7 linked regions of the Callithrix jacchus genome follow. The protein of the gene in region 2 purifies or fractionates together with the protein of the main gene of each other region. This does not show direct contact. Links are inferred from orthologs where the notes say so. Each region holds a gene or a part of one and is shown on either strand. Other genes may lie near its edges. The genes, in order: DNAJB6, tubulin alpha-1A chain, TXNDC9, DNAJA1, HAX1, BAG2 and TCP11L2.

Region 1 (3,500 bases), on a different chromosome or scaffold from region 2:
GGTGATCTGCCCACCTTGGCCTCCCAAAATGCTGGGATTGTCACACCTTCACCTTGCAGTGATGCATTTCAGAAACAAGACTTCTGCCTGCAAAATGCCACTTTATCCTTCATAATGCTGATGCTGCAGGACTGCTTTTACTCTTAATTCATCTTAATGGTGCTTACAGAGGACGGCAGGTGAGCTGTATTCAATATGCTCATGTTTTATTTACGTAGGTGGCACTTAAGATACATGATGCATTGAGAGTTACATTGTCCGCAGAAAGCATCAGATACCACTCCGCTCCCCCCAAAACCAAACAAACGAAGCCAACTCTTGGGCAACAGGTGTGCTAAATAAAATCACAGATCGCGCCTGTTTCCGGCTCCCAAGCCTGGGTCAGTGCTCCATAGATAGTGACAAAGAATTCCCAGCTTCAACATCGCTAGATTAAAACTGCTGACGTCTTCACATCACACCCAAGCCTCTCACAGCACCCTCACGTCCCAGAGGACAAAGGAAAAGCAACAGGAACAGCAGGTCCTCATGGGAAAGGGAAGGACAGTGGGCGGCGGGGGCCGGGGGGGGGGCGTGCAGGGAAGAAGGGAAGGCAAGGCAACCCCGAATTCCGCTCCATGCTCAGTAACGATAAAAAGAGAAGCCGCAGTACACGATGCAAATGAAAGGGCTGCTGGCAGTGGGCAGGGCAGCATCTAGTCAGAGTGCGGTGACTTTGCTCACAAGCTGAACACTGGCTCAACCTCCTGGTGCCATCTCTGGGTGTTTGGGGCATGTGTCATGACCTGCCGTTTTCCCCAGCACAGTCGTGACCCAGGAACACTAGGGAGGGGGCTGCTGAGCAAAAACCTTTTGCTAAAAAGAATTATGGATCCCAGGAAAAAAACGTGGAATCTAGCAAGACCTACACAATATCTGAAGTTGAATTTGGACTACCAGCAGATGGAAACTAAAAGATGAAGCACAGGAATGATTTTACATGTGCTGTGATTGATGATGCTGTTCATGTGGCCATGTTGCCCTGAGGAAAAGGTGCCCTGGCCGCCAGGATTCAGTGCGTCCCTTAGGGCATTCTCTAAGTCACACTCTACTGAATTACCCTCTAATTCCAAACACAGCACCGCCACAGGAAAGCGCGTGGTTTAGTGAAAGCCCTCGGCTGTCTGCCCTGCTGTTCCCCTAATGCTACAAAGACCCCAGCAGCATGCGGAGTGGTTGCATGGCCGAAAAGAATGAAGAGGATCCGGAAGCTCTAGAGGAAAACTCTGGCAGATTGAGTGCTGGGAGAGGCAGATGGAGAGCCACGGCCACGCCCCGTCCCCAGTGTCCATGCCCGCCACCCGCACCATCAGCCCCACCTCCTGACCCCTGCCCTGACTGATCGGTGATTGCATAATCCTGCTGAGCGAGTATAGCCGCCAGACAGTCCTGACCCCACGCTGCTACCTAGCGCGTGCACATGGCCGCGCGCCGAGCATGGTGGAGCGCCAGCTCTGGGGGCAGCGCGCGCCTGCAAGTCCAGTCTAGTGATTGCCTTTGGCCGACTTCTTCTTCTTCGACTCCTCTCTCTGCTTCTGCTTCTTCCTCTTGCCACCTTCTTTGAATCCTAAGGAAACACGGCTTGTAAAACACGGTGCGGAACAGCACTGCTTCCCCAGTAAGAGCCAAATGTGTTTTCTAAGTATCTCCCCATGTTAAGAACAAAAAGCAAAGAAGTGAGGTCATCTGCCTCAGCCACACCTAAAACTCAAAGCCTGAGCTGACTTTCCAAGGTGCATGTCGAGAACGGCTCCCATTATTCAGAGAACTTCACCACCCTGCAGAGAAGTGAGCGACTCCCCCTACCCGAGTTCAGCGGCAGAGCTGGAAGCCCACCCTGGGGACGGCCACACCTCAGGGCCAGGACCCTGCCCTGGGCCCTCCTTCAGAACACACACGGGGCTTGCGCAGAGCCACGTCCACCTGTGGGGAGGGTGCCCACAACATCTCCTCCGCTCCCCCAGCGCTGGCCACACAGTGAGGCCTTTCTGCAGGCAAAGCCTTGCTGTGCACCGGCCTCATGCTTGTGGGCTCTGTGGCATCCAGCGTCAAAGTCCCATTTCTTGCTTGAGGGAAGTAACCTTGCGTCTCCCTGTTGCCGAAGTCACCGGCGGCCACTGACTGACCCAGCTGAAGTGCAGGGAGAAAGACACCCACCCTCTGAACAGTCGATGCAACATGCCACCAATAAAGGCCTGGTTGCAGCCCTGCCGACATAGTCTCAGACTCTGCATGTGTCCACGTGGGTGCAGGAGACGGTCCTGCTGTTGAGTCAGGCAACTGTCAACCTGAGTGACGTGACTGAGCACAGGGCTCATGACCGGCAGCAGGCAGGTGGAACTGGGTCCCACATGCATGGGCCCCCGACCTGCCAGGAGGACCCTCTGAAGACCCGCACAACAACCCCCAAAGTGGCGGCATGCCCCACAGGGAGGAGCCTGCTCACAACCCTCTTGGGGACCCAAGACCCCACCCACACTCAGGACTCGCCCCAGAGAATCACAGCCATAGGTGGGCCAGGTACCCGGCTTCAACCAGACACATTTTCCCTGCCCAGCAGATGGCCGCCACACTGACCAATATGTCACAGGGTGCAGGCCCACCAAATGTGGCTCGCACACATGCTGCACCACAGTGGGGAAGACACATGCGGACTCTCAAATGTGCTGTGGCTCTCACCTCAGAGCACTGCCCGGACCCAACAGCTCTCCACGGAAGGGGACGTGCATGTAGATAGGGATGAGCCTGCAGGTCCAGTCCACACCCGCAGCCACGCAACATGCCACACTCACCCGCGGCCTGTGCGTGGCAGAGACTGCCACCTTAGGGTGCTTTCCATGCAAGCGGGTGCATCCTGACCGCCCTACAGGAGCAGCACAAGATACACGTGCTGTGAAACACCAGGCCTTCCATGCTGCGTGTTTAGGAGAGTGCGCCTCAGTTACAGAAAGGAACAGAGCGGGCTACGTGCCACTGGCCGCTGTGCAGAGGCCACCAAGGACCTGCTTCCAAAGTCAGGAGGCGGCTCTTTGGAAAAGGCAGAGGAAAGGAAGCGGGAGAAGCCAGGAGATGCCCCACCTGAGGGGCGTGTGGGGAGCCTCGGGGCGAGTAAGTTTGGTATTTTGAGGAGTGTATCTCAAGTGAGAGCTCATTTCCAACCTAAAAAAAATCATGCCCTAGACCCGCCCAGGCCTGGGGGCCGCACACCTGGCTGAGTCCTGAGTGGAAGCTTGCTTACTCCCGGGAGCTCAGACAGGACCTGCTCCACGCAGGGACCAGTCAGACGGCTGGAGGCAACAGCAGGAGCCGTCAGCCCTGCCGGGGAGGACGGGCCTGTTTCAAGGACCTTGCCCAGGACTTGCAAATCCCGCAAAAAGACGAGAGGGGGATCTTCCAGGCACCCAGAGGCCTGGCCAAGAGTCACAAGTTTTCTGTGACAAGGGGCTCCAGGGAAAACAAGC
Region 2 (4,120 bases):
CGAGATCACACCATTGCACTCCAGCTTGGGTAACAAGAGCAAAACTCTGTCTCAAAAAAAAAAAAAAAACCAGCATTATTTCAAATGTCCTTTTAAGGCAGATTAATTTACTTTATTCTTGAAAAGAAACATACCAGTTTACGAATTCGGTCCAACACAAGGTCAATGATCTCCTTGCCGATGGTGTAGTGCCCTCGGGCATAGTTATTGGCAGCATCTTCCTTGCCTGTGATGAGCTGTTCAGGGTGGAAGAGCTGGCGGTAGGTGCCAGTGCGAACTTCATCTGGAGGAGGAGGGAGAGAAGGACAGAGGGACTGGGCAAGTGAGCGAGTGACCAGCAGATCCCCCAGGACAGACCTCCTGTCCCAGCACCCTGGGATCTCACTTGGGTTACCGAGGCCAACTCACCAATGACCGTGGGTTCCAGGTCTACAAACACTGCCCGGGGCACGTGCTTGCCAGCACCCGTCTCACTGAAGAAGGTGTTGAAGGAGTCATCTCCTCCCCCAATGGTCTTGTCACTTGGCATCTGGCCATCGGGCTGGATGCCATGTTCCAGGCAGTAGAGCTCCCAGCAGGCATTGCCAATCTGGACACCAGCCTGGCCAACATGGATGGAGATGCACTCACGCTGTAGGAAGGAAAAGTGAAAAAAATTGTATAATTAAGCTGTATTAGCATTTCAAACTTTGAGTACATTTCTAAAAATATTTCTAATAACATACAGGTATTTTTCAAAATTATTTGAGGTCATATCCCCAGCATGCTACAAAGATTAAGGAAAATTATCTGCTACAAATGCTGCATATGGTGTGGTCTGAATAACAATGTCGCCTTGGCCCTGTTCAGCACATGGTACCAGCCCATTGTTCTTACTACCTTGCTTGAATAGTAGAAGACTTTTCATATTTAAAAAGTATTCCGCATTCGAAGCACAAATTTTGTAAAATAAAGTAAATCCAATCATGACTTAATTGGGATTAATTGTACTGCTTTGTTTGCTTTTAAATAAAGATTAAAGTTTCTTCTGAATAGGACTTGATATTGTAACAGGGACATCTGTACTGCCGCTGAGGCAAGAAGCCACACCCTTCCGCAGTCTGTCTGCAGAATCCATCAATACCAAGGGTTTAGAAGCTAGACAAGGTCTGCCTTCTGCATTGCTGCATTGCTGTATTTGCAGTGCCTGGTGCTAGCCTGTACTGTCTGCTACATTATTTAACAGAGCAAGCTCTATTTCCAGCAACTGCCTACATGATCTCATTGTGCTGTTTTGCCAGTTTTCCTCCTCTGACCCAGCCCAGGACCATGTGCCTGAATTGAAATGAATTAATGAAGATTCACTAGAACAAAGGACAACGGGATACAGAATATAATCCTTCTTTGTCTATAGCAATTTCATCACTTTTCTTTTTTAAAAAAGGTTTTTCCAGATCTTCTCCATTGTAAAAGCTGAAAAATTATCTGTATCTTAAAAAAAAAAAATACAAAAAGGTTCCTAAGTTAGAAAGAAGCATCACATAAGCTACCAAAGAATAAAAGCCCAGTGGAAGGATAATGAAATATTTATTTAAAAAAACAAAATAGTATTTTCATCTTGAGATTCTTCACCTACCACATAATATTAATATTCTTTGCATCCAATAGAGGTTTTCTTCCTCTGTGGTCTTTAGGGCTACCACTTCCATTGTCTATTCACTGACGTGGTGGGGGCTGGCGGCGGGGAAGGGCGTTTCCTAGATCCTGACTATCAGGGTAACCCGGGAGCTCACAAAGTGGGCTTTCTCTCTCGCTGAACATGCAGCCCAGACACCCAGACACCCAGACACACACACACACACACACACACACACACACGCTCTCTCTCGCTCTCTCTGTCTGTCTCCAGTCGGTCAGGGCAGACGTTGAAGAGCTTGCCAAGTGAATTGTGATTTTGCTCAAGAAAAAAAAAAGTCATCTAACATATAATAGTGAAGAACCCTTTTGGAGCCTACAGTTTCGCAATAACGAAAGGCGTTTCTTAAAGTCTGCGACTGACAGAGGAGGTTCAGTGAGGGCGAACCCCGCCCCGTGGCTCCATCGCCCTAGAAGCCAGAAACAAACAACTCCGCCCCTGCGCCTCCCTGACACCCGCTGCCGGGGGCTCCGGCAGAAACTCACTGTATTTTCCCGGGAAAAAACGCCAACGACCGCGAGGGGTCTTCCCACGCTAACCCCAGGCTGCGCTTTGTTCCCGTCCCCGCTCCCGCATCCCCCAGCTCCACGGTCCCCGCTCTTTTTGGACACCTCCTCCTCTCGCGGTCCTCAGAGAACGACGCGAGACGGAAGAGGCCCCTCGGGGGCAACGAAACCGGGCGCACAGCCACGGGGCCCAGCCGGGACGCCCCAGACCCCTCGGTCGCGGCAGACAGGCTGGGGCTGTCCTCAGCCCCGAAAGGCTCTCGGACGACACAGGCGCCCAGGCGCCGCCTTTGTCCCTCCCCAGCGCTTGGCTGAGCCCTGGGCGCAGTCCTTGCCTGGATCCTGCACCCCCACTGCGGCGGTGGCGGCGGGGCTTGAGGACTTGGGGCAGACAAAGCTAAAGCACACGACGATCCTCGCCCAGACAGCTTACGAAAGAAAAGTGCTTAAAAGTTTTCCAAGTAGACCCTGGGGGCGCTGACTCCACCCAACCGCCACAAAGAGCGGAAGCCGATTCTCACCATGGTTGCTGCTTCGCGGCTGCCGAGCAGATGGCGGAGACGAGGAGAAGTTGTTGCTTCTTACAGCGCGACTCTTAGGCGGTCGATGTAAGAGAACCTGAGGCACATGGGCGGATGCGGCTCCCTATATACAACTCGGTCGCCATGGGGATGGGCTGGGGCCTTTTCCTGTTGGTCCAGACCCCCAATCTGCCCAGAGAAGTCATGACAGGAGACTGGTGATTGGTGCAAACGACGTGGGATGAGGTAATCTCTCCCCCACCCTTTTTTCTCTAGCATCCATAGACTGTTTGCATCCTTTAGACAAAGAGACCGTGCAGAAGCAGTCTGCCGAGCATCCATTATGGGGTGGGGTTGGGGAGGGGCGGAAGGAGAAGAAAGGGGACTGGGTTGGAAGACTTTATATTGCTTGAATCTCAAACTGCGGTTAAAATTATCTATATGAGGGTTTTTTTACCCTACACTTAATAACAGAATTTGTGTTCAGATGCAATATTTAGAGGAAAATTACTGCCAGCCCCTCCTCGTAGTATATTAGACTTGACTACATTTTGTTTTGTTAGGGTTCAGCGTCTCTAATTGCTTTAAAAATAAAGTGGGAGAGAAAATGGGCGTGATTGCTGAAAATGGCTTGGGTAAATGTGATTTTTTTTAATTTAAAAAAATATTTATTAATACAATCATTCAAAATGGTTTCTCAGGTTCAACTAATTTATTTTCAGACCTTCTTTTGCAGGCACACGCACACCCAAATAGCTAAACAAAACTGGAAGATGGGCAGAATAACCATACTAAATAAAGAAGCGAACACATAGTTCTAATATGGCACTAAACAATAGCTAGTGAACGCAGAGTAGTTATAATAGTTTATTAGAGGTATTCCTTTATGAGAAGTCTATGTAACACATTTTGTGTGGTACATTGTCCTTGGAATGCATCATCTTTCCTGATATAGAATTGGGAAAATACAAGGAGAAATAATTGAGTTCACAAGTTAGTCCTACATGTGTGCAGTTATATTTATGCATTGTACTTTTGTCTGAAAAGTAGCAAACAAAATAATAATTACCAAGAAACCAAATTTAAAAGAAGAGAATAACATAATGTAAAAAGCAGACCATTTTGCTATGTTGCCTCCATCCACAGACAACGGTGAAACATCAGCTCAATAACTGCATTTCCTTTTTATGTAGTTCTTATGTCAATTTGGTAAATATCCTCCTGCAGGTGGATTCTAACTGTGGGAATTTTAGCCAGCCTCACACCCTTGCTATTCAACTAGAGACTCTGGTGGTTGCTCAGTTGCCTCTTGGGACAAAAAGGCTTTGCTTTCACCCATAGGAAATAAATTGTAGTAACATTCTCTTGCTATTTAGAAAGGCTTCATTCTCAGCAATGATGTGCTATGCAGAATAAGT
Region 3 (4,296 bases), on a different chromosome or scaffold from region 2:
TCCGACCCTCCCGGCGCGGCCGGGAACCCTCAAATGACTGTCCCGCTCCTCAGGCCGGGGAAAAGATAGCTACGGGACCGAGGCTCGGCTGGGAGGATCCGCCCGCCGTCTAGGCCCTAAGTGCCCGCCCGGCCCGGGGGCGTGGGCCCGCGCCGCCCAGTCTGGGCCCTGGCCCAGTGCCGCACGAGAGTGGTCGCGAGCCTGGACCCCGATCCAACCCCGCGCCCGGCGAGACCCGCACACCCCCCAGAGCCACGGCGGCCGCCGCCGTACGCACTCAACCCCTAGCTACCTGTCTTCGCTCTTGTTTTTCTGTTTCTTCCCCATTGCTTGTCAACTGGCGCTCGGCCCCTCTATTCGGTCTCCAGCAGACCCACTGTCTCCTGGCTCACTTTGGTCTCCGCTCAGCTCCTTTCCCCAAGTGCTGCCGCCGCTCGCACCCGGCTCTCCACAGACCCGCGCACTGGAACAGGGCACATATGGTGTGAATTCTCAGTGCGCAAGCGCATCGCCCCGCCGCTTCGGCGTGAGGACGCAGGGCGCGGCTCATCGAGAGCTGCGCTTCGGGTAGAGCGTCTTTAGTTGACCCGTCGGCCAGGCAGGAGCCCGAGCGCCCCCTCCCCGAAAAGCGTCCGCCACAAGCCGACGCCCGCGCGGATTCCAGGTTCTAGAACCCGGAGGTGGACAATGAAGCTGTTAGTTCTCCAACCCAGCCCTCTCCCGACGGGTAACGCACGCTTTGATTCAGGAGTAGGCCTGGGCTTCCCTTTATATCTTTGTATTCTCAGCTGTACGAAGTTCAGTAAAGAACGATAATGAGTACTCTGGGGTTTGCGAGAGAGAGAGACAAATCCAGGACAAAATAGGAACCTCTCAGTAACATCCGTGCATTATGCATTATGTACAGTCACTGAATAAAACATAGAACAGGACATACCCGATCAATTCCCTAACATAGGTCTTCATTTTTATGCTCAAAGCAAGAGCAAGTTCTAAAAATTCCTGTGTTTAGGGGAGGCAAGGGGGAACCTACAGGAGTAGTGGAAAATGTTCTATATCTGGATCTGGACGGTGATATTTTGCGTTTTAACTATGCAGAAGGTAATTGTGCTGTATGTGTTTATGCCTCGACTTTAAGAAAAAGAAAAATGTTCATTCAACAGAACGGAAACGCAGTTCGAGCGTCATTGCTGAGCAGGAGTGCAGCTGTCTCATTTCCAGTCTCGCGCACTGGATCGTGAGTTCTGAAGCACCGTCCTGAGAAAGTCCGACCACGCCAGCCTGCGCACTAAAAAACTGCAACTCCCAGCATGCCTTCCAGTTCGGCCGTGTACCGGGAGAAAAGCAAGGGCCGAAAACCTCGGGTTCCGGGCTGCTGAGCGGCAGGCGCACGCGCAGAACTGCTCCCACCCGCTCTCCCGCCCCTTCCTCGGGCGTCCAAGGTGATATCGCGCGAGGTCCGCAGCCAATACGGAGGCGGAAGTGACGGCTGGTTTGTAGCTGCCGGCAGGTATTGCAAGGCTAAAGCTAGAGTGGACCTCTCTTTTGAAACTGCTGCTCTCTCACTTCTCAGGCATCACCGAGAGCTCAGGTGAGGCAGAGGATAATGAGCAAAATCCGACCACTACGTCCGGGTGCTGGTGGACACTACGTTGCTCCACATCCGGAGCGGGGGGGGGCCCCGAGGCCCCGGCACCGGCACCGGCACCGGTGTTGGTGTCCTTCGGAGGCTCTCGCACATGCGCACGAGCAGGCGTTGAAGTTGGGGCCGCCGGGACTGTGCCCTCCCCCGTCTCCCCGGGCACTGGGTTGCCATTGGGGAGGTACCTGGGTGCGGTTAGGGACCAGGCCCCTTGATTGTTTTGGCGGATACCTGTAAGGATGTCCAGGAAATGACTAGGGAATTTGAGGACGCGCTGTGTCCCACCTTTCCAGCGGAGTAGTAAAAAGGAAGAATCAGAGGCTGTGGTTTGACGAATAAAAAGCTAACGGAGTTGTTGCATGGTCTGCTTACCCGGTTCTCAATGCTCTAACCACCAACACTTACCCCCAGAATACCTGCTCTTAATCGCTTCTGTTTCCATTTATCCCAGAATTAAATTCTGGCCTCATCCTTAAAGCATTCTCTGTGCTTATCTCTGGAGCACAGGTTCTAATGTATAATTCAGTAACTTATTTTCTCCTTCCAGCCCTCTCCCTGAGGGTCGCAGTCCTACTGACATTTTCCTTGGGCAGTAGGAAGTGTGGAAATCTTTTGCTATTTGAAATACAGTACCTTTCCAATTTTATAGCACTTACAAGGAGCTTACAATTTGGTTTTTTAAACTCAAATACTTTTGAAACTTAACAGCGTAGTAATTTGAACGGAAGCGAGGCAAATGTTCATTCAACATTAAACATGTTTATTGAGTACCTTTTGTGTTCTGTGGCGATACAAAGATGAAATCAAGTATACTTTTCAAATGCTTTTCCTGTAAAGAAGAAGGAATCAGAATTGAAGTTTGCAAGAATATTTCTCTTCAGCTCAGCGTTTATAGAGGGCCTGTGTGGGTCATGATCTGTGTCAGAAGCTGAGTTAATGAATTCACACTCTGTTATGAAATTTTGGGTGCTTCGGTAGTATTTGCAAACGTATCGTAGTTTATAGACATGCAACAGCCTTCTGCTTTGTTAGACAAATTATAAATAATTTCTGGGTTAATAACCCCGAGAGACACATAAAATTGCCCTCTAATTGTTGGTATAAAATATTCCCATTTCTTTTAAAATTAAAGTTTCTACTAATTGCTAGTAGAAAATGCTCCATTTCTTTTAAAGCATATAGTCATGTGTCACGTAAGGACATTTCAGTTTTATGAGATTATAATACTGTATTTTATTGTACCTTTTCTATGTTTAGATACACAAATGCCATTATGTTACAGTTGCCTACAGTATTCAGTACGGTAACATGCTGTACAGATTTGTAACCTAGGAGTAATAGGCTGTATGGTATAACCTCGGTGTGTAGCAGGCTGCACCTTCTGGGTTGTGTAAATACAGTCTATGGTTGGGCGCGGTGGCTCACGCCTGTAATCCCAGCACTTTGGGAGGCCGAGGCAGGTGGATCACGAGGTCAAGAGATCGAGACCATCCTGGTCAACATGGTGAAACCCCGTCTCTACTAAAAATACAAAAAATTAGCTGGGCATGGTGGCGCGTGCCTGTAATCCCAGCTACTCAGGAGGCTGAGGCAGGAGAATTGCCTGAACCCAGGAGGTAGTTCTCCTGGGAATTGCAGGAGAACCTCTCCGAAGGTTGCAGTGAGCTGAGATCGCGCCATTGCACTCCAGCCTGGGTAACAAGAACGAAACTCCGTCTCAAAAAAAAAAAAAAAAAAAATACAGTCTATGATGTTTGAACAACATCAAAATCACCTAATGCACACATTTCTCAGAATGTATTCCCATTGTTTTATGGGTTTTTGTTTTTTGAGACAGGATCTAGCTCTATGGCCCAGGATGGAGTGGAAATGGTGTGATCTCAGCCCACTGCAACCTTGGCCTCCTGGGCTCAAGCTATCCTCCTCCCATCTCAGTCTCCCTAGTAGCTGGGCTAGAGGCTCACACCACCTTGCCTGCTAATTTTTCTATTTTTAGTAGAGACAGGGTTTTACCATGTTTGAGACCAGACTGGTCTCAAACTCCTGAACTCAAGCAGTCTGTCCAGCTTGGCCTCCCAATGTGCTGGGATTACAGGTGTGAGCCATGGCACCCAGCCTAGAATGTATTCTCATTGTGAAGTGATGCATGACTCTAATTGAGATAGGTCTTTCTTTCTAATCTGGATTAGTTATATTTTGAAACTCTTATTTTGCACAGAGGAGTGATGATGGGGAAAAAATTTTTTTTAAGTGTTTGGAGTGTTTTACATCAAAGTTAAGAACACTGTCAGTAAATGGAAACCAATATTAATTTTTTAGCCTCGTCGATTTTTTTTTGTTAGGTAATAGGAGAACAAGAATGGACATTGATGCTTAGGGAACACCAGGCACTGTTCTTTACATAAATGGTAATGAGACGTTTTAGGAAACTAAATGTCTGGAAATGAAACTCATTTGGGTAGTGACTGTGAAAAAAATCTGTGTTTTGCTCAACTCTACTCTGTGTCTGTTTAAAGTTTAATATATATATTTGTAAAACCACAGTAGCTGTACCTTCCTATTGTTCGCAGTTGTTTCTGATTTCTCTTTTCTGTTGGTAAAGAACACTGAATGTCCGTCTATATCACTAGGTATAACTTCACAACTCATTTCTC
Region 4 (3,500 bases), on a different chromosome or scaffold from region 2:
AATTTCTGTATTTTTAACAGAGATGGCATTTCACCATGTTGGCCAGGCTGGTCTCAAACTCCCAACCTCAGGTGATCCACCTGCCTTGGCCTCCCAAAGTGTTGAGACTACAGGTGTGAGCCACCACCAGCCAAAATATTAATAATTCTAAACAAGTTTAAGATGTTCCCAATTTCACCTCCAGTCCACTTAAAAAAAAAAAAAAAAGATGGGCTCTGTCACCCAAGCTATAATGCAGTGGCATGATCATAACCTTCAACTCCTGAGTTCAAGCCACTCTCCTGCCTTGGCCTCCCCAATAGCTAGAATTCCTGGCCTCAAGTGATCCTCCCACCTCAGCCTCCCAAGTTGCTGGGAATATAGCATACACAGAGGGTCTGTTATGTTTTGATATTAGCTGTGAATATATTTAACACAAACATTTGCTATTAACCATCAGTCTTTCTTGTGCTTCAGTGTTAAGTTCATCATAAACTTGGTATTATTTAGTTCACAATGGTAGACCTGAATTTTTTTTTTTTTTTTTTTTTTTAATTGTGTTGATGCTCTTTACCATTTGGTATGTTTTTGGAGTGGACCTGAATTTATACTTAAATATTGAGTTCTAATTTAAGTTTCCTACAGAGATGCTTTTGGGTATTTACAATTAAAAGCAATTCAATTTATCTTAAACTTAGGATTGAAAATTGGTGAAAGCTTTAAGGCACTTACTTTAAATTGTTTTACAAAAACTGAGGGCAAACTTTTGTCCAGGGATGTTTTCCCCCAGCCATTTGGTGTTTAGGTTCACACAAAACATCTAACTGAAACACATTTTCAATGTTCCATACTCAAGAGACAAAAAGCTAAAAATCTGATCCCATGTATTCAAGCTCTTATGATTCAAACAATGGTTAACAATCTATTACAAGATACATTATACACAGTATAACTGTCTTGCTATATTTTCCTAGCATATCTCCAGGAAATATGTTGCAACAGTAATGGTAAACACATTATAAACAACCAAAACCAACAACCCAAATATGTAAAGATGTCAATTTGAATGGTTTATAAAATTCTTTACCGAGTAAAAACAGCATGGTCCTTCTGATCTAACACAATGATTATATCTCCTGGCTCCAGTCCTGGTTCTTGGTCTCCTTCACCATGGAATGTTATCTTCTGGCCATCTTTCATGCCTTAAAACATTAATTTTATACTCTTAAGGTCAGAATAATAAAATCTATACATAGATGTTTATGCATAAAAATCACAGAAATGACTAAGAAAGCCCACTTTCTTAGTAGTTCAGTCCAATCTGTGCCTGAAGAAAGGTATCATAGTGGGAAATACAAACTCTAGAAGCAAGGACCAGCCTTCAAATCTCAGGGCTGCTATTCACTGGCTGGATTACTCTGGGAAAGTAAGCTGCATATCCTACCCAAGTTTCAACTTTCCCACACCAACACATTATGATTGTCAAGTGTATCAACTAAACAGTTATAAGCTGGTACTAAACCAGTGACTGGCAAACATTGGTTATAACCAAAAAATGTTAATTAACTATTTCAATTTCATTACTTATAAGAACATATCAAACTACTTAAGTCTAACAGCAATGTAAATCAAGACCCTTCTCACTGTTGTAGTATTTATATATATGAAACTAGAAAAATTTAAAATCTATAATCTTAATTCTTGAGATAGGCTATTGCTCTGTTGTGCACGCTGGAGTGCAGTGGCACAAACATGGCTCACTGCAGCCTTGATCTCCTGGGCTCAAGTGATCCTCCCACTTCAGCATCCTGAGTAGATAGGACCACAAACCAGCTAATTTTTGAATTTTTTTTAAAATAGAGATAGAGATTCTCATTATGTTGCTCAGGCTGGTGTTGAACTCCTGGACTCAAGGGATCCTCCTGCCTTGGCCACCTATAGGGTTAGGATTATAGGTGTGAGTCATGGTGCCTGCCAAAAATTCGTATTTTTGTGTAAGAACTATTCAGTTTGGCCGAGCACGGTGGCTCAGACCTGTAATCCCAGCACTTTGGGAGGCAGAGGCGGGCGGGCAACACGGTGAAACCCCATCTCTACTAAAATAAAAAAAAAATTAGATGGGCGTGGCAGCATGTGCCTGTAGTCTCACCTACTTGGGAGGCCAAGGCAGGAGAATTGCAAGAACCCAGGAGGCGGAGGTTGCAGTGAGCTGAGATTGTGCCACTGCACTCCAGCCTGGGCAACAGAGCAAGACTGCATCTCAAAACAAACAATAAAACAAACAAAAAAAACCTATTCAATTTGTTCCCCTTAAAATTACACTTTGGGGAGGCCGAGTCAGGAGGCTAGCCTGAGAATAGCACCCTGGACCACAGGAGTTCGAGACCTTGTCTCCTTTAAATTAACAAAAAAAAAAAAAAAAAAAAAGAAAAAGAAAAAGAAAAAAAAAATCAATCAAAACTAGACACTCCCTTAGCTCATATGGTCCATAAAATACAAGGAGAGTATTTATTTTCTAACAGGGCAAGAAATTTTTAAACAGGCTTTTTTTTTAAAAAACTAAGATTTCCCCAGCCCTCACCTCTGACCCACATATTTTAGTTCAGTAAGGGTTTGGACAACATTTCTTAAAACATAACTGGTGTAAGAAAACCTGTGTTTGTACAGTATTACACCGAAGCAGTTATCTCCTGATTATTTCCTGAGATCACTCTGGTTATCTAACAGAGCAATCTTGTTTCACCTTTTAGTATGGAAAATATTAATCCTGTATAAACAGAGCCAACAGTACAATGAATTTCTACATATCCATTCAATCTGGCTTCAGCAGTTATTAACTCATGATTAATATTTCATGTATTATACCCCTGCCCATGCCCCCCACAAATACTTTCAAGTAAACCCCAACCATAACCATTAACCCAAATACTTCACTGTTTACCTCTTATATAAAGACTTAAAGCAATATCAGTATCATACACTAACAAAATTAAACAATCTGTCTTTAATCGCCTATCCATGCAAAATAACTTGTTATGCTAGTGAAGCAATTAAACTCAGCTAGGTTTTCCTGAATAAAAACAAGGATAGGCATAGCACAAATGTCTTCACTTGCTACATAGTTAGGGTATTAATTTAAAGTCCTTGCTTAGTGTCCATCATTGATAGGTTCTTGGAAATTGCTTTAAATGAAATGACACATAACAAGACCATTTTTCCCCCTCCCCTGTGTTATAGTGACATGACATTGAGATCAATTTGCCAGAAGTCCCAGTTTCCAAGAACCTATCAACAACATTAAGTGAAGACTTACTCTATATGCTATTGGTATCAAGAACACCTCAAAATATAAACCCTAGGCATGGGCCCATTAAGGGGAAAACAGATTTATTAAGTTCAAAAACTGGCCAAGGAAACTTACTTTTACATTTCAATGCACTACATTCTTAGGTGGAAAACCTTGGGGGATCAGAGAGGCCAGTATCATGAGTCATGTGATAGAATCCTATTGCAGCCACTTA
Region 5 (4,058 bases), on a different chromosome or scaffold from region 2:
GGACAGAGAATTCCATTCAGAATAGCTCTATTTACCCACTGTTTCCTCCTTCCTGGCTGTTTTATATATCCTTCTACCAGAAAAATTTCCTCAACTAATATATTCCTATCCTCTGTGCACAATCCTGCCTTATCCAAGAATTATGTAGACCAGTGGTATTTTTGTTTTGTTTTTTTAAGAAACAGAACACCCATTTCCCTCTAAAAAAAAACCCCATGAGCTTAATATAGAAAACATATAAACACACTAAATGGGGGGCTAGGATTCCAACCCAAAGCTATCAGATTCAAACAAGAAATGCAATCTTTGGCCAGGCACAATGGCTCATGCTTCTAATCCCAGCACTTTGGAAGGTTGAGGCAGGTGGATCGCCTGAGGTCAGGAGCTCGAAAGTAGCCTGGCCAACATGATGAAACCTCATCTCTACCAGAAATACAAAAATTAGCTGGGTGTTTGGGGGGTGACTATAATCCCAGCTCCTCAGGGGGATGAGGTAGGAGAATCACTTGATCCTGGGAATCAGAGGTTGCAGTAAGCTGAGAACATGCAACTGCCCTCCAGCCTCGGTGAAAGAGCAAGATTCGTTCTCAAAAAAAAAAAAAAAGTCCAATATTTGCACCCTTTTTGCACCTTTTTTCCCCTTCCACCTCCTGGGTTCAAGCGATTCTCCTGCCTCAGCCCAGATAGCTGGGATTACAGGCATGTACCACCATGCCTGGCTAATTTTTTTGTAGTTTAAGTAGAGAAGGGGTTTCACCATGTTGATCAGGCTGGTCTTGAACTCCTAACCTTGTGATCTGCCCACCTCCCAAAGTGGGCTGGGATTACAGGCGTGAGCCATTGTACCTGGCCTTTTTTTTTTTTTTTTTTTTTGAGACAGTCTTACTCTATCACCCAGGCTGGAGAGCAGTGGCATGATCTCAGCTCACTGAAATGTCCTTGTCCTGGGTTCAAGCAATTATCCTGCCTCAGCCTCCCAAGTAGCTGGGACTACAGGGGCACACCACCACATCCAGCTAATTTTTTATTTTTATTAGAGATGGGGTTTCACCATGTTAGCCAGGCTGGTGTCAAATGCCTGACCTCAGGTGATCCTCCTGTCTCTGGGATTACAGGCGTGAGCCACTACACCTGGCCTTTTATTTATTTATTTTTTTTGAGATGAAGTCTTGCTCTTGTCGCCTAGGCTGGAGTGCAATGGTGTGATCTCAGCTCACTGCAACCTCTGCCTCCTGGGTTCAAGCCCCTCTCCTGCCTTGGCCTCCTGAGTAGCTGGGAAAACAGGTGCCTGCCACCACAACCTACTAATTTTTTGTATTTTTGGCAGAGATGGTATTTCACCATGTTGACCAGGCTGGTCTCTAACTCTTCACTTCAGGTGATCCGCCTGTCTCAGCCTCCTAAAGTGCTGGGATTACAGGCGTTAAGCTACCGCACCTGGCCAATCTTTGCACTTTTAATTAGTAGTCTCTCACAAGCTCTCACTTCAGGCCCAGATGGGATACTCACCCTATGAAATGGTCTCTGGAAGCCCCAGTATGGTGTTGGTTTGGGGGATTCACTTCTTGCATCACTCTCCAAGACCCCCCCAAAGATCCTGGGCTGGTGACTATCTGGATACTTAAGCATTGAGTCCCGAAGTGTTTGTCCCTCCCGCAGTCTCTCACCAGGTGTCTCTGACTCAGGACCTGGAAGTTCTGCAGAAAGGTGGCAGGTGTTTGCTGGGGTGGGAAAGAACTTGGGCTGTATACATCTCCCTGAAATTATCCATCTTCTCACACGTCCCATCCCCCAGCTACTCCCTGCAGGCTCTTTATTTCACCCACCAACCCACTAGAAACCACAGGTTGTGCCTCAGGGAAAGCCACACACCAGGAAGATGAGAAGGCAAGGTCCAGGCCCCCATATGGCTGAAGATGCTATTGAAATCTCGTACTAGGTCATCAAAGCCGAAGTTATCATGTAAACGTATCCCTCCTCCTGGGCTGAAGCTGAAGCCAAATTCCTCAGGGGGCTGAGGACTATCGAACCTGGGGTTCCCACGGCCCCATGCGCCTCCTTCTTCCTCTTCCTCCTCATCATCTTCATCTCGAGTCATCCCTCCAAAAAAGGGATCTCTGTGGCTGAGAGTGGAGGCAGATTGGCCACCAAGATTTCAGCACGACTTAAGCCATAAAATCAACTCATGGGTGGCAAAGTGGGACAAGAGCAAGCGATTTGGGAAGCTGGGGAGAGGGTCGGAGGGCTGGCTGCCACATCAAAATATTAATACAATGTCCGACAGTTCTGGTTTTGTTTTTTATCAAAGTCAGACCTCAGCTCGCAACTCCCTTCAAACACCTTTCCCCAGTTTTCCTTAAGTGTGCCCCAGCCCCTCCCCTCTCTCCCAAGGTCCTGGTCACAAGCCCGCTGTCCTCTTCCCCAGACCCCAATTGTCTATCCCGCCCGGGTCCTTGTTGCATCACCCCAGGTTGGAGAAAGGCTTAGTTTGCTGTTTCTCCTCTTAACGACCACCCTGGTTACTGTGGCGGGGCGAGTGCTCAATGTTACGACTTCACAGGGGTTGAAGGAGTAGGCCAGAGGATGTTTTCCCAAAAATAAGACGTAAGGGGTCAAACTCTTCTCAGACGACCTCACCCTTGTCCGACCCGGACCTACTCTCACCTCCGAGGTCCAGGAAAGCCGAAAAAGCCCCGGAAGAGATCAAAGAGGCTCATTCCCGTATTGGCACTCGAACATTTAAACCCCTCCACTGGCCGATTCGCAGAAGAGTGAAACCTGCGCAGCCCCGTAGGAAAACGAGCGAGACGTCAGCCCACGCTGCCGGAAAGCAAGCCCGCGCGCGATCCGAATACTGTCGTAAAAGACTGTAAGTCGGACGTGAAAGGGAGACAGAGCGGAAGGTCTTCCTCAAATTTCAGAGGCTTTATCTTTACCCCACCTTTTAGAGGCCAGTTTCCGTGACAGGAGTGGGCGTGACGGACGTTCAGTTTACCTATGACCGCCTTCCTCTTAAATCTGTTCTCCTTTCTGCAGACCAACTCGGTCCGGAAAGCAATTTCGAGGGTTTGACTCTGGAAGGCACCCGGATAAAGCCGCCAGAGGGCCTCCCAGCCGCACAAATGGGCCGGCTTGAGGGCATCCCTCAAACCTCCCCACCCCCGGTGCTGGCCAGCCTCACCGCCGAAACCACCTCGCCCCTTACTCCGAAGCTTTTGACTGACCTGGGTGATGTCTGCTGTTAGAGGGATGAACAAAAAAATGTTTCTCCAAGCTCCTTTTAGTATTGAATTCCCCAGAGAAGAGATCAAGACATAAGTGACACATAGACTTCATCTCTCTAGCTACTAGGGAGTTTGTTATAACCATACAGGATTTTTTTGGGGTGGGGAGACGGAGTCTCTGTCACCCGGGCTGGAGTGCAGTGGCGCAATCTCGGCTCACTGCAACCTCCGCCTCCCGGGTTCAAACGATTCTGCTGCTTCAGCCTCCCGAGTAGCCGAGACTACAGGCGCGTGCCACCACATCCGGCTAATTTTTTTGTATTTTTAGTAGAGACGGGTTTCAGAGCCAGGATGGTCTCGATCTCCTGACCTCGTGATTCTTCCTTCTCGACCTCCCCAAGTGTTGGAATTACAGGCGCGAGTCACCGCGACTGGCCAGGATTTTTTTTTCTAAGCAGGCTGTCTGCAACCAACCAAAGGATTTTTAAGAAAGCGAGTGAAAGGAAGCTAGTTGAATCCTGAGAAGGGACAAATTGAGGACTATAAAGAAGTGTCCCTTTTTTTTTTTTTTTTTTGAGATAAGAGTTTCCTAGGCTAGAGTGCAGTGGCGCCATCTCGGCTTACTGCAATGTCTCCCTCCCGGGTTCAAGTGATTCTCCTGCCTCAGTCCCCCGAGTAGCTGGGATTAGAGGCCCCAGCCACCAAGCCCTACCTTGGTTATTTTTTATAGAGACAGGGTTTCACCATATCGAACTCCTGACCTCAGGTGATCCACCCACCTCGGCATCCCAAAGTGCATTAGCCACTGTGCCTGGCCTCATTTTTTTTTTTTTC
Region 6 (3,500 bases), on a different chromosome or scaffold from region 2:
AGCTGCTCTCTGCGGCTCACATTAAATGCTGTGGCCTAGAGCACACATACCAAAAGTCAAGCAAAAATTTACCCACACTTATCACAAACTCTTTAAAGCAGTGTAAAAGACGAGCCCCTTCTGTGGAGATGACTCTCACCGTCACTGATCTGCCTCATGTCCTGGCTGTTTTGGATACTGTGGATCATTTCCAGAAGGATTTCTTTCTCTTGCTCAACAGCAGTTGCTGCTTCTCTCAAAGCTTCAACCCTATGGAAATTGGGGAAAAAAAACCAGTTACTGTATGGAGGATGTTCTTCCTGTTAATTTTCTTTCTCTCTCATTTCAGCCCAAATCAAGTTTAAAGATCACCACTTTTCAAAAATTCTTCATTCTTGCTTTAAAATTCTTTTTCTATTTTTATCCATTTGTCTTTCTCCCATTTCCTCTCAGCTCATAAGGTAATCATTCTCTTTACTGTTTGTCTAATAGCACTTATTTTTTTTATTAGATCTGTATCATTTGTATATTTTGAATTTATATCTCATTCTGTTTTTGCTTTTTTTCACTTTGCATCCAGGTTCTTATGAGTACTTTTTTTTTGAGACAGAGTCTTGCTTTGTCACCCAGCTGGAGCACACTGACACGATCTCACTGCATCCTCCACCCGCTGGGTTTAAGTGATTCTTGTGCCTCAGCCTCCAGGCCCGGCTAATTTTTGTATTTTTACTAGAGACGGGATTTCACCATGTTGGCCAGGCTGGTCTCAAACTCCTGAACTCAAATGATCTGCCCGTTGCAGACTTCCAAAGTGCTGGGATTCAGGTGTGAGCCACCGCACCCAGCCCCCATGTGAACTTCTAATCAGTTGCTTCTAATTGCTGTATAATACCCCATGCGTACACCTACCTGATTTTTCCTCTCCACTCTCCCAGAGATGTACAATCAGGTTGTCTACCAGATTCTCATTACACTATAAATAACACTTCTATGAATAAACATCCCTTTTGGACCTTGGTGAGGATTTCCTTAGGACATATACCAGGGCAGCATTGCTGAGACACGGGGTATATGTACTATGCTTCTAACTTAGTACTACGATTATTCTGCAGAATACCTGTATTCTTCATCCACTCTCCACAGCAAAGCACAGGAGTCCTCGTATCCTTACCAGCACTCCACATTTTCCAACTTACTACCAGTCTAATAGAAATACACTGATATGTCAGTGTTAACGTGCATTTTCCTAATAATTTCAGACATCTTTTTGTATCGTTAGCCTGTTCATAGACTTTTCCTATTTTGTTTTTCTATTTGTAAACAGGAGTTACTGTCCCCTTGTTGATATGTATACTCAAGAGATTCTTATTGGACACAGATATTGCAACCATCTCTCATCCTCTCATATAGGCCCCATGTCTGGGATGTCTTACACTAAAGAGAGACATTTATTTTGAGGTGATCAAATCCATTTTTTTTTTTTTTTTTTGCTTTAAGGCTTATGCTTTCGAAGTTTTGACCTAAGGTCTTCCCCCACCCCTTGGTCATATTTTCCTACTATTAACTTTCTAGTTCTACCTTCCTTATATTTATGTCTTTAATCCACCTAGAATCAACCCTTGTATGTAGTAGTTCGGTAAGGATGTTGTTTTATTTTTTTTTCCCAAATAGCCATTTTCCCCAACATTATTTACCAAACAATCCATCTTTCCCCTAGCAAATGTATATTAAGTTTATCTCTAAAATCTCTATCTCATGCATTAGTATATTTAACTGTTCTTATACCAGTGCCCAGTTTTTTTTTTTTTAATAGCACCAGCCTCATACTACATTTTACTATTTGGTAGAGCAGGCCCCTCAATCTTCTTTAAAGATAACTTAGCTATTTATGGACTTTTATATCTCCATATAAACTCTAGGCTAAATTTATTGTGTTTCTCAAAAATCAAGAGAAATTAGACATCTTTATAACATCATTCTGTTAAAGGGCGTGATCTATGTCTCTTCATTTATTCAGATCGTCTATAGAGTTCTGATGTATTCTTCATAGTAATCTTTGTGGATATTGTTGCTGTTGTGAATTTATATTTTCTAGTTGATTTTTACTGGTTTGAGAAGTGCTGGTTTTGTAGGTTTATCTCGTCGCTGACGACCTTAATTTACATATACTCATTTTAGTGTTCAGTCTATTGATTCTGTTGGTTCTTCTGGGTTAATGATCGTATCATCTGCAGTAGTTTTTATTTCTTCCTTCCCAATCCTATTACCTTTTTTTTTTTTAAGAAAAGGTCCTCCAGTCTTCCAGTACTGTATTAAACAGTGGCAATGATGGAAGTGTCTTTGTCTTTTCCCAAGTTTAAGGGAAAGTCCCTGTGGTTTTTTTGTGTGTTAAGTCCTGTTCAAACTATAGAAGCACTACTTTCTCCACCTCCCTCAACTGCACACACATGCACTCACTATACATACACATGAATATACCCAGTCACTAAAAAGCTAAGCTGTGGAATCATGGGAGCAACATAAAAATACACATATTGTATATTTAACCTGTTCTGTACTTCCAGGGCACCTTCTTATTATGAATTACAGTAACTAAGTCACCAACTTTTGCAAAATGAAATAGTGACAGACCTATCCCCAGTATTTGGATGGTCTGAGAAAATACAAGGTCATAAAGATCTAATCCTAATTGCTGTCTTAAGTGTGCACAGAAAGAACAACTTCACCAATGTTTTAGCATGTTCAATTCCATAAAAGGATCCTCCCCTACCCCAAGCACACACATGCCTTTTCCCCCTTTGGTTACCCACCTATTATACCCCAAAATAGTACTGACAGGCTGTAAAATCACAAGGTATCTTTATTCTTCAAGATATTAAACACATGTCAATCAATGAGAGCTTGTTATGTTGCTCAGGTTGGCCTTGAACTCATGGCCTCGCCTCCTCAAGTGCCAGGACAACTGGGCGGAGCCACCGCGGCCCCCAAAACTCATGTCAAACTTTGTGTTTATAAGAGCCAGTAAAAGCAAAGAACTGGGAAGAATCTCGTGACAAATTTGGCTAGAGAACACACTCAAATTACAATATTCTACAGAGTAATAGTAATGCAAGTATCAGGCCCTATTACAGGACTATTCCCTATTTACTTAAACATTTTACATTAGCAGTCTTTCAGAAAGATAAACTAGGGCCCAGAATGTAAGAAAGAGACCGAGTTGGCAATGAATACTTATACTAAAAGCACAAATCATGACCCCAATAAGTATTTAGACAAATGACACAGGTAAATCATGTGACTGGTAAAGAGAAGATGCTGAAAGAAGAGATTAATTTTTCAACACTTTTTTGGTTTGTATTCAATTGTAAGATGACAAAGAGAGAACAATGTTATTCTGAAAAGGAAAGTTTCATTTACTAGTTATAGCAGTCAGATCATGTTGTTAACAAAATAAGATAAAAAAGACATTCTAGGAAAAAAAATAAGCCTGTCATATGAAGAAAATATTTTATCATTAAATG
Region 7 (3,500 bases), about 39 Mb from region 2:
GGCTGAGGCAGGAGAATTGCCTGAACCCAAGAGGCGAAGGTTGTAGTGAGCCAAGATCGCGCCATTGCACTCCAGCCTGGGTAACAAGAGCAAAACTCTGTCTCAAAAAAAAAAAGAAGAAGAAATGAGCAATCTAGTGCTTGAAATAGAGCAAGTGCCTTGCAAATGTTAACTAAAATTACAACCGTCACCTCATTTAGCTCTTATGACTACCCTGTAAGTACTCAGGAAATAGAGACTTAAAGAGAGAACTCATCACTAAACCAGGACAACAATCTAACTCCAGAGTCTCTGTGTTATAAGCATCACTCTAAGCTGTGTCCACGGCACTATTTTCTCAGCCTTCATTCTACTCCAGGAGGGGCAGGATAAGGTAAACCCTGCCAGTGAAAAAGAGTGGCCAATACTAAAGGACATAAAACAATCTTTTGGGGAAAAAACTGCTATACTTTCAATATCTGTGTTTTCTTCTGTCACCAAATTCGTATGTTGAAACCCAATCCCCAATGGAATGGAATTAGGAGGTGAGGCCTTTGGGAGGTGATTAAGTCATAAGGGTGAGGTCCACATGAATGGAATTGTACCCTTATAAAGAGACACTGAAGTGCTGCTTTGACCTTTCTGCCATGTGAGGACACAGCAAGAAGGCACCACCTATGAGCTCACTCAGGAAATGAGCCCTCACCAGATGCCAAATCTGCTGGTGCTCTGATCTTGGACTTCCTAACCTCCAGTACTGTGAGAAATAAATTTATATTGTTCATAAGCCACCCAGGCTATGCCAGTCTGTTACAGCAGCCCACCTGGAGTAAGACACTAACTGACGCAAACGAAACAGCAACTTGCCTCTCTGATTTCTTCGAACAGTTTGATGGCATGTTCAAACTCAGGAGGGTCAGCATTTAGTTCTGAAGCCAAGACGTCCCAGAAGGCCTGGTGAACAATGTGCTTCACGCGACCAGCCAAACTATAGCAATGAAAGGGATTGTTGTTTAAAATAATCATCATTGTTTTTCCTGATTATACAAGAAATATCCTCACTGTAGAAATCTTAGAAAATATTTTAAAAAGCAGAGCAATTGCCCTTAATCCCATTATTAATCTTTTGAATATGTTTCTTGTTGAATGCATTAACAGAGTGTACTTTTCATTTAGCATTCTGTACTGTTTTCCCTAGACCTTGAAAATGCTTTCAATAACTTCATAAAATTCTGTCCTAAAGAGATTTCAAAATTTATGTATCTACTCTTCTATATAGATCTTCAGACTTGTTCTACATTTTTGGAATGAGATGGCAAAGTTGCTCTTCCTCACCAGCTGAAATTTCATGGCATGGACTAGAACACATTAGCCCCAAGGGCACATGCATTTGAACGCCTGCCAGCTAAAGCTTAGGTGTCCCATTTAAAGACAGCCAGACCAAACTGCCAAAATAGAAGCCTTCCTAGGAAGAGCTTACAATAGAATAAGTGGCTACTTGGCTTCACCCTTTATGTCAATGCCTTAAAATAGGTGCACATTAAAATACACATTCCTACCTAACTCCTATGCCATTTAGCAACAGCTTTTAGGGAACCACCTATGTCTCTGCACTGTAATTTCTGATGAAGCTGTTTTCCCACAGAGATATACCTTTCCCAAGCAGAGTCTGTAAGTCCATCTAGGTACTTACCATTGTGCCTAACACAGTGCCTGATATATAGTGAGTACTTGACAAATGCATGGTGAATGAATTCATAATTTGATAAGTATATCTCCTAATTTTTCTTCTTAAAGTATAAATAGCTACATATACAATAATGCTATGAAAGAGGAAAATTAGCTTTCGAAACATGAGTTAAAGTTTGTAACTACAAATATTACATTCTACTCGGCAATTTTAAATATTAAAACTTATTCTAATTGCATGAGGAAATTTGTTCAATATAAATGCCATTTCCAAAGTTTGAGACTCTCCAGGAACACTCCAGAACAACGAGAAAGGCAAACATTGCTAGGATGGACTTTTGCTCTTGACTTTATAAGCCATACATACCTGGCTTGAATGAACAACAAGAAATGAGCTAAAACATTTTTATAGGTCCCTAAGGGACGTCAGAGTTGAAATTTAAGTTTTCCTAAAGTCTGCAAGGTACTTTGTATCTCTTTAATTTTCTGGGAAAGTATGGGGGCAGGGAGGGACTTGCTTAAAATCATTTATAAGCATTCCTATTATTTCCTGGTAAAACCTGATGGATTTTACCAGGAAAATATTTGATAAAATATGAGTTAGCCATAATCAAAAAAGGAAAAACGTGGCCATTGTGGAGGGTCATATGAAAATCAATAGTTAATACTGTGATATGAGACTTTATTTATTTATTTTTTTGAGACAGGGTCTTGCTCTGTTGCCCAGGCTGGAGTGCAGTGACACAATCTCAGCTTACAGCAGACTCTGCCTCCTGCGTCCAAGTGATTCTCATGCCTCAGCCTTCCGAGTAGCTGGGATTACAGGCACACACCACCACACCCAGCTAATTTTTGTATTTTTAGTAGAGACAGAGTTTTACCATGTTGGGCAGGCTGGTCTTGAACTCCTGAACTCAGGTCATCCACCACTTCAGCCTCCCAAAGTGCTGGGATTACAGGTGTGAGCCACTGTGCCCGGCTGAGACTTTATTTTTAAACAAAGGCAATGTGTCCTAACTCTGCACTTTGTTTCCCTTGCTCACGTTTTCTAGCCGTGGCAGAAACTGAAGGGAAGAAAGATCAATATTTTCCATAGTATCAAAGTATTTTTGTGCAAGGCAATTTTATGCTAGTGAGCATGCATTTGAAGTGAGTAGTGTAGTCCCCATCTTATCCTTGGGAAGTGTGAAGTTCAGGTATGGCCTCAGTAAAGCCAGGATTCAAACCCCAGGGTCTGTCTGAGCCTAAAGCACCTTCACTATGGCCTGTATTTACCACTTTTGAATTTAAAGTACAGATATGCCCTGTCTTTTGTTTTACTTCATAAAAAATACAAATTTTAACTTTAAAATTCATTTGTATTAGTCAATAAATGTTTATTGAACATCCAATATATGTGGGGCCCTGTAATAGGAACTGCAGATACTGCAGTGAAAAGACTGCATTTGTATGTAAGCATGGATAAAAAGGCAAACACATTAAAAATGAATGACAATTTTAGACCTACGAGAATGATACAGTAAGACAATGTGGTGGACGGTTATGGAGAGGGTGCTGATTTCATTGGATGTAACCATCTTAAGGCCTCTTTAAGTCAGTGACCTTTGTGTTCAGACTTGAAGGGGGAGAGGGAAAGAACCACGTGAAGGTCTGGGAAAAGAAATTCAAAAAGAAGAAGTGGGCTGGGCACAGTGGCTCACGGCTGTAATCCCAGCATTTTGGGAGGCCATGGCAGGCGGATCATGAGGTTAGGAGTTTGAGACCAGCCTGTTCAATATGGTGAAATCCTGTCTCTACTAAAAAATACAAAGATTAGCCAGGTGTGGTGGCGC

Evidence for each region.
Region 1: the proteins of tubulin alpha-1A chain (region 2) and DNAJB6 purify together in Homo sapiens (pull-down; 3 studies listed by BioGRID and IntAct, with this or other methods). This does not show direct contact. The link is inferred for Callithrix jacchus from reciprocal best matches to the Homo sapiens genes TUBA1A and DNAJB6.
Region 3: the proteins of tubulin alpha-1A chain (region 2) and TXNDC9 purify together in Homo sapiens (affinity purification with mass spectrometry; 3 studies listed by BioGRID and IntAct, counting the BioPlex papers as one, with this or other methods). This does not show direct contact. The link is inferred for Callithrix jacchus from reciprocal best matches to the Homo sapiens genes TUBA1A and TXNDC9.
Region 4: the proteins of tubulin alpha-1A chain (region 2) and DNAJA1 purify together in Homo sapiens (affinity purification with mass spectrometry; 3 studies listed by BioGRID and IntAct, with this or other methods). This does not show direct contact. The link is inferred for Callithrix jacchus from reciprocal best matches to the Homo sapiens genes TUBA1A and DNAJA1.
Region 5: the proteins of tubulin alpha-1A chain (region 2) and HAX1 purify together in Homo sapiens (affinity purification with mass spectrometry; 3 studies listed by BioGRID and IntAct, with this or other methods). This does not show direct contact. The link is inferred for Callithrix jacchus from reciprocal best matches to the Homo sapiens genes TUBA1A and HAX1.
Region 6: the proteins of tubulin alpha-1A chain (region 2) and BAG2 purify together in Homo sapiens (affinity purification with mass spectrometry; 4 studies listed by BioGRID and IntAct, with this or other methods). This does not show direct contact. The link is inferred for Callithrix jacchus from reciprocal best matches to the Homo sapiens genes TUBA1A and BAG2.
Region 7: the proteins of tubulin alpha-1A chain (region 2) and TCP11L2 purify together in Homo sapiens (affinity purification with mass spectrometry; 3 studies listed by BioGRID and IntAct, counting the BioPlex papers as one, with this or other methods). This does not show direct contact. The link is inferred for Callithrix jacchus from reciprocal best matches to the Homo sapiens genes TUBA1A and TCP11L2.

The regions. Positions count from the first base shown.
Region 1 is NC_133512.1:90,847,109-90,850,608, forward strand, and holds the end of DNAJB6 (dnaJ homolog subfamily B member 6), read right to left. Parts: intron 1,607-3,500; coding exon 1,447-1,606; 3' UTR 186-1,446; downstream 1-185. UniProt on the Homo sapiens protein: Has a stimulatory effect on the ATPase activity of HSP70 in a dose-dependent and time-dependent manner and hence acts as a co-chaperone of HSP70. Plays an indispensable role in the organization of KRT8/KRT18 filaments.
Region 2 is NC_133510.1:70,370,387-70,374,506, reverse strand, and holds the start of tubulin alpha-1A chain, read right to left. Parts: upstream 2,801-4,120; 5' UTR 2,706-2,800; coding exon 2,703-2,705; intron 632-2,702; coding exon 409-631; intron 284-408; coding exon 135-283; intron 1-134. UniProt on the Homo sapiens protein: Tubulin is the major constituent of microtubules, a cylinder consisting of laterally associated linear protofilaments composed of alpha- and beta-tubulin heterodimers.
Region 3 is NC_133515.1:8,929,975-8,934,270, reverse strand, and holds the start of TXNDC9 (thioredoxin domain-containing protein 9), read left to right. Parts: upstream 1-1,496; 5' UTR 1,497-1,591; intron 1,592-4,296. Other genes in the region: EIF5B (eukaryotic translation initiation factor 5B), read right to left, coding at 293-327. UniProt on the Homo sapiens protein: Significantly diminishes the chaperonin TCP1 complex ATPase activity, thus negatively impacts protein folding, including that of actin or tubulin.
Region 4 is NC_133502.1:140,224,980-140,228,479, reverse strand, and holds part of DNAJA1 (dnaJ homolog subfamily A member 1), read right to left. Parts: intron 1,182-3,500; coding exon 1,067-1,181; intron 1-1,066.
Region 5 is NC_133519.1:14,693,611-14,697,668, reverse strand, and holds the start of HAX1 (HCLS1-associated protein X-1), read right to left. Parts: upstream 2,801-4,058; 5' UTR 2,718-2,800; coding exon 2,665-2,717; intron 2,124-2,664; coding exon 1,873-2,123; intron 1,722-1,872; coding exon 1,510-1,721; intron 1-1,509. UniProt on the Homo sapiens protein: Recruits the Arp2/3 complex to the cell cortex and regulates reorganization of the cortical actin cytoskeleton via its interaction with KCNC3 and the Arp2/3 complex. Slows down the rate of inactivation of KCNC3 channels. Promotes GNA13-mediated cell migration.
Region 6 is NC_133505.1:65,548,568-65,552,067, reverse strand, and holds part of BAG2 (BAG family molecular chaperone regulator 2), read right to left. Parts: intron 250-3,500; coding exon 140-249; intron 1-139. UniProt on the Homo sapiens protein: Co-chaperone for HSP70 and HSC70 chaperone proteins. Acts as a nucleotide-exchange factor (NEF) promoting the release of ADP from the HSP70 and HSC70 proteins thereby triggering client/substrate protein release.
Region 7 is NC_133510.1:109,182,468-109,185,967, reverse strand, and holds part of TCP11L2 (T-complex protein 11-like protein 2), read right to left. Parts: intron 968-3,500; coding exon 847-967; intron 1-846. UniProt on the Homo sapiens protein: Promotes the migration of muscle-derived satellite cells (MDSCs) during differentiation throught interaction with FMNL2 and therefore may participate in microfilament assembly.